2 linked regions of the Yarrowia lipolytica genome follow. The protein of the gene in region 2 purifies or fractionates together with the protein of the main gene of each other region. This does not show direct contact. Links are inferred from orthologs where the notes say so. Each region holds a gene or a part of one and is shown on either strand. Other genes may lie near its edges. The genes, in order: YALI1_C11271g and YALI1_D14462g.

The links.
Region 1: the proteins of YALI1_D14462g (region 2) and YALI1_C11271g purify together in Saccharomyces cerevisiae (affinity purification with mass spectrometry; 3 studies listed by BioGRID, with this or other methods). This does not show direct contact. The link is inferred for Yarrowia lipolytica from reciprocal best matches to the Saccharomyces cerevisiae genes RPB7 and TPK2.

The regions. Positions count from the first base shown.
Region 1 is NC_090772.1:1,125,390-1,128,884, reverse strand, and holds YALI1_C11271g (uncharacterized protein), read right to left. Parts: upstream 1,721-3,495; coding exon 728-1,720; downstream 1-727.
Region 2 is NC_090773.1:1,444,891-1,448,081, forward strand, and holds YALI1_D14462g (uncharacterized protein), read right to left. Parts: upstream 1,344-3,191; coding exon 771-1,343; downstream 1-770. Other genes in the region: YALI1_D14453g (uncharacterized protein), read right to left, coding at 1-509; YALI1_D14477g (uncharacterized protein), read right to left, coding at 2,310-2,846. UniProt on the Saccharomyces cerevisiae protein: DNA-dependent RNA polymerase catalyzes the transcription of DNA into RNA using the four ribonucleoside triphosphates as substrates. Component of RNA polymerase II which synthesizes mRNA precursors and many functional non-coding RNAs.

The sequences.
Region 1 (3,495 bases), on a different chromosome or scaffold from region 2:
TTCAGTGACTTCTTCCCGGCGCTTTTTCGATGGCTCTGATTCCTGTTGGTGGTCTTGTTATCCAGGCATACATGTGCAGTTTAGGCGACACAATATGACTGAGTCTGGAGCTCTCGATCTCCAGGAGTGGCCGGTGAGATTCTCGATACGCTTATATACACAGATGTGTCCCCACAGAGTAAGGAACCAGAGAATGGAGCGTGAACCGACGATGAAAACCCTGGTTGGATCCTTCTATGAGGACAGAACCACGTCCGACAAGTGGAGATCTCCTCCCCAGAAGGTTGCAGACACTGGATCCTTACACATGCGGTCCCGTATCCATTACAACAACGGTTGCTTCAACAGACTGTCACAGACTACACCATGGAGTCGTGTCACAGATCCCGCCCATCATCAATGTGTTCGGAATCGGTCTCAAGGGACGAACAGTTGCAATTGACTCACAATACTCCCCCAATTGAATCTATCCAACATCTATTTCCAACAACCGCAATCAGACCCAAACACTCCCCCCCCTCTCCCTAATACTTCTATACATACATTCCTTACATAACCTTTGCTCCAGCTGTTGAGACTGACCAGTCACGGCTTCGTGTTCCATACAGTTCCTGGAAGACAGTCATCGAGTTAACAACAACTGGTGGGACCCACTGCGACAAACAGTCGATCAACAGTAAACCTGCATTCTTCAGATTCAATCTCCCGTTCGTCGGCTGTTGGTCGTCTAGAAATCGCCAAACAACTTTCCATACGGGTCCGGACATACAATTCCATAGTCCAGCTCCTCCTCCGGGTAACTGTCAAACAACGACGTGTCGCCCACTCCACTCTGAATGGGAGGCTCATACGGAGTCTCGATATCCTTGGACAACAACTTCTCCCAAATGACCTCGGAGAACCACGGGTGGTTCTTCACGTCCTGTGGGCCGCCCTGCAGGTTACCATATCGTCGGGTGAGGTCCTTGGTGATGAGTTTGGTCAGCAAATCAGTCACATCCGGATGCAGGTACGAAGGGTACCGCACATGACCCATGAGAATGTTCTCATACGTCTTCATGGGCGTGTGGTCGTAGAAGGGCGTGTAGCCGGTGAGCATTTCATAAATGAGGATTCCGAGCGACCACCAGTCCACAGACTTGTTGTACGCCTTTGTGGTGACCACCTCGGGCGCAATGTAATCTGGCGTGCCACACAGCGTCCAGGTCACGTCGCGGACCTCTTTGGCGAACCCAAAGTCCGTGATTTTGATGTGACCGTTCTTGTCTAGCAAAATGTTTTCGGGCTTGAGGTCTCGGTAGATGATGTTGTGGGAGTGCAGGTACTCGAGGGCGAGGGTGACTTCTGCCGCATAAAACTTGGCCACGGGGTTGGGGAACCGCTGGCTCTTTCGCAGCAGCGAGAACAGCTCGCCTCCCTCCACGTAGTCCATCACCATGAACAGGTTTTTGGAGTCCTGGAACGTCCCCCACATTCTGATCAGAAATGGGTGCTCCACCAGCTTGAGCATCCGCCGCTCGTCGTTGGTGTGCTCCACCTGCTTCATCTTCACAATCTGCGCCTTTTTCAGCACCTTGATGGCGTAGTACCGGTTGTTGTGCACCGACCGAACCAGATGCACCCGGCCGAACGAACCCGTTCCAAGCGTTCGCTGGATGGAGAAGTCCGTCAACGAGTACTTGCCCTTGGAAACCGTGCTTCTGTTAGGTAGAGATGCCATAGGTGGTGTGTAGAAAAGTCCTTTGTGTAAACTGTCGCGTATCGTCCAAGAGGCGGTGTCACGTTCGTCTCTCAAATTCAAATGTCAAAAAAATCGGTCTGTAGCTGTTGCAATGCCCGTCACTAAAACAATATCGTCACCGTGCTAACGTATCGTGCGCTGGCGTGTCCCACTGCTGCAGAGGTTAATTCCAAGGGTTAGGGTATTTTGAGGGGGAACAGGCCAGCAAGACCCAGCCGCCGCTGGAGATCGACACATGCCAGAAATCAACCCGGACTTGGCCGGCTTACATACCAAACAGTCACGTGACGACATCCGAGCGCTGCCCCTGTCTCTCTGTCTCTTGTGAGGCTCGCTGCAGCGGCGCTAATGAGGCATTACCCTCCATCTCACAGCCGAAACCTTAATATATGTCGATGCTTATGTAAGCGGAATCAAGAAAGAAAAAACATAATGATGGCTGATGACTAATGGACGGGAGCGTATTTGGTATCATAGAGTTGATGGCGATCGGGTGGTCTCAATAATGGGTTTGAAATTTCGGTGGCTTCAGTATTTGTCGAGTTAGGGTATCTTTTTGTATTTTAATCGACATTTGTTGGTGCAATTGATTTACAAGTTGCGGCATGGTTTTTTTGGAGTAGTTAGGAGTTTGGAAGTACGTTTTTCTCTCCAATTATGTCTGAATTGCGCTCTCCAACCGCTGTCGTTATCTCGCATGAATGAGATTATGAGAAACATTAAACTTCCGCTTATCTAAGCGACATGCAGCCAGGAGGGGAATAGACGGTCCAAAACGGGGTTTGGAGCTGCCAGTTCAAGGCAAGGGGTATGCAGGGTTGATTTGGTTGGCTCATTATAATGGCGGGACTCGGCTGGTATGACGAACCTGACTTTTGAGTCCAAGAAAATCGAGAAATTTGCGGAAACTGAGTAATTTGGATGAGGAAAGAGATTGTAGTTACACGAAAGATATAGAAATGGACTCTCTGAGGTGTGGGAATTGTTCTTGAAAAAAACAGTCTTCGATTTGGCCTATAATTGACCAAGCTAGTCGAAAGCGGAGACAACGCACTACCCCTGTAGCCACTGGTAGTTGTCTCGGGGGTTTGAGAGGGGGCTAGAGATGAAAAAGGAAGTTGACGGGAGTCTTAGACCAGGTCAAGAGAGTACTGGCACCACTCACGACGCTCTAGTTAGTCTGGGAGGGTGGTTAAGTACGTCTTTAGTGGGACTCTTAGAATGAACATAGAATGGTGCGATCAAGACCTACAAAGACAAGGGCATAATAAGAAGAAAGAGATTGATTCGGGGAAACAATTTAATACCATCATATGATGTTCACTGTCTTTGTAGCCAACGTAGCATCTTAGCATCTCGTTTAGGGAATCTGCCCACCATGTAACTTCACCAAATGGAGCAGACGCGAATCTAGGAACATGAGAACCATGTGAGACGCGCTAGTTCTAGGTCTAATTGCTGCCTATTCCGGTTACCGTCGCATTGTTCACAGCTTCTCATGTTTCCACCCTCGGTTGTTAGTGCAACTTTAGCTGAGGTAGGGTAAGTTTATTGGATGCAAGATAGATGTGAGCTGTGTAGTTCCCTCTGGTTCCACGTTCATAAAAGTAGGTCATGTATGGTACCAAAAGGATCAGCAGAGTCTCAGGAGTCCAACGGTACATGTTACTAAGAGTTTGGTGTCATGTACATAGCTCTACGGCTACCGAAGGTGCATATGAGAGATATTTAAACTGGACAAATCTCTCTTCTGG
Region 2 (3,191 bases):
GCCTGTTCCCAGGTGATGGGGTTCCAGTCCTTCTCGGTCAGGGTAGTGGAGGGATCGTTGAACGTGGCAATGTTGAGAATGGCAGCGAGCGAAGAAGTGATAACCACCTTCTCGACGTTGGGGGCATGGTCCTTGGCTGCCTTGAGTACGGTTGTAGTTCCTTCGACCGCTGGTTGGAGCATCTCCTTCTCGGGGTCAGTCGTGTTGTAGTTGAAGGGGGAAGCCGTGTGCAAAATGTACTTGATCTCGGGATGTTTTTCGAAAATGGCCTTGAATTCACCGGCGTTTCTCACGTCGGAAAGCGTTTCCAGCTCCAATTGGCCTGAAGCAATCTGCTGCTTGAAGGCCTCAGCCAGACGTGCGGCTTTGTGGGGGGATCGAACCGTACCGATGACTCTATGACCTGCGCTGAGCAGCTGGTCGACCACGTGGCTGGCCAAAAATCCAGTGGAGCCGGTGACGAGAGAAGTTGGTGGCATGTTGACGGAGTTGTATGACGGAGATGTCATGATGACACACTCTTCATCTGCATTATGTTTAGGTTGATAATGCAGGCGTCGTGGTTATTAACCAACACGATACACAATTCTATACGGCGAGATCAGATAATAGTAAAAGATGGTGCTAAAATCAGTCAAGGAGTTTCTGCTTCGCTTCTCCACTTACTGGTCAGTCTATCGCCGTGTTTGTAGCGATCGTAATTGTCTCCATATCTCCTTCTAGTGATTGCACTTCTACCTCCAGTTCATATAAATATGTATTATAGTACACTAGACCAAACCCAGATAATCCTCCTTGATAGTACCAATGGCAAACATTTCTCCCACGTCGGCTCGCACTCCGACAATCTTCAGTCGCACCCGACTTCCCTTTTCAATGACCTGATCTTCACTGACGTATGCTGGTGGGTTTGCGCTAGGGTTGAACTTCATGTCAGGAGGAATCAGATGGGACGAGACAAACACGGACAAGGGGCCCACGTCGCCAAAGAAGCCCATCTTGTTCACGTTGGTCACTATCGCATCCACCACCTCGTTTTTGAACGGTCTCCACACAATGGCTCGGTAGTTGACTGTGAACTCGGCCGAGCCGTTGGAAGGCACCACTCTGCCTTTGCCAATGTCGAACGGCTGGTCCAGCACGCACAGAATGTAGCCGAATTCTCCGGTGCAAGTGCCCTCCACGTCCGCCAGCAGCTTGGACCGCAGGTATTGGCCCATCTGGGGGCCAAAGTATGACGGATGCAGAGTCAGAGAGAGCGTCAAGTCTTTCTGCGTTAGTTCTGTGGAAATTTGGCAACCTCGTTGTGCCAAGCTCCGTTGGAGTCTCCATCGCCCGTCCATCGCCTGGTAGAGGCTTCAAATTTGTAGGATAAAACAACACGCTTGTGGTGCTCGTGCTCGTGTGGTTCCGTGCTGAAAGTGTTATGTCATGTGTACAGCTGAAGAACCGAGTAGACACTCAGCTGAGATAGGAGACTTCGTCACATGCTCACTCCTCCATCCCTCACCTCTCAACACCACGGACATGACACCATCCACCGTTCTCTCGTCGTCGAACATCACCATACCACAGCCCATCGAATCACGGGCCGATCTGGTGTCTGAACACGTGATTCCACCCGTCTGACATCATCCATTCATGTCTTTGCGCCTGCTTCGCCTTCCCATACTCACAACAAAAAACATGCCGATGGTTTCTGGAGGTCTTGACCGAGTATCTCTCTTGACGAAACTGTGAAGCTAAAAAAAGGTGTTTTGGGAGAAGCTCGAGACATGTCGTAGAGGCGGTGTAAATAGATGTGTTGAGAATAAATGTCTTCGGAACCTGGTTCATTCTCAAGGATGCAGTATTGTGCAATGTTGTATTGAGCGGGTTTGGTCAGAGTCGCCGTACCGTGTCTGATACCGCTAATACTGCTTCAGCTGACTGTTGTGGACTGCTGCTTATTAATCATAGTATCTCCCACCTCCACTGCAATAAAGTTGCTGGGTCACGTGCCACTCGGGGTGTTTTATGTTAAGGATGATGGGTAAATGTGAAGGAGTATTGTACGTAGCGACGACTGTGTGGGAAGTGAGGTGCTTGTAATTGGAGAATGACGATATCCGACGGGTTGAACAGATCTTGTATAATTGTTGGAGTCAGATTTGTGTCTGTTCTTTAACTAATTAGTGGTTGTAGATGCACGTTACTTGAACTGTTGGTCAGTATTGGTTGAGATGAAGCTGTGTGGTGTGTCTACTCTACAGTGCGAGTGGTGTTGTGATGAGTTGTAAAATTCATTTCTATAAATAAGTGTGGGCGTCTTACTTCTGTTGTTGGACGCCAGTGGCTCCCAGAGTGAACTTGAATGGCTCCTCGCAGGTGTAGTTAGCGCTGCCCAGAAGGTACACCTCCTGGCCTCCGACTACAGCTCCGTCTTCGGAGGTGCACGAGTAAAACTCCTGAGAGCCCTTGTAGTAGACCTCGCTGACAAACGAGCCTCCTCCCTGGATGAGCCAGCCAGCGGTGGAGTTGGAGGAGGTACTGGAGGGCTGCGAGACAACCAGCTGGCCGTTTGCAGCAACAGTAATCTCGCCACCAGAGGGTCCGTTGGACACAACAGCCAGCTGCTTGTCCTTAACGTCCACCTCAAGTGGGGAGACGGAGGAGTTGCCCTTCTCAAGACCAAAGACCACCTTGTTGTCTCTGAGCTGGAGAGGCTTCATTCCCATGGCCCCGGCGCCAGGGTGAAGACGAAGGGTGAATCGCGTAGCAGAAGGACTGTTGCTGTAGTCCTGAACAGGAGCTGCAAAGACACCAGTGGCAGCTGTGGCTAGGGTGGCGTAGTACTTGAAGAACATGGTGATGGTGAAAGTAGTTGTGAGGGGAGTGCGATGGACTGAGAGCAGTGTCCACTATTTATATATATCTCACCACTCAGATAGACTACCGTATACAGCAATTGTCACAGAAGATACTGTATAACCAGCACATTGCATCATATTGCAGAGGAGTATCAAGAGATGGATGGTCCTGCATATGTCAGGTACCCGTTCTGAAACGAGGGGCTGTGCAGAGAGAGGTGTATTGTGGTAAATGAAAGAGCGATTGAGAAACAAATGACGCAAATCAATTGATCAATTCGTCACAGGGACTCTTTCGAATAAAAATTCAACCCCGTATGATCATCTCAACCTCATTCAAGC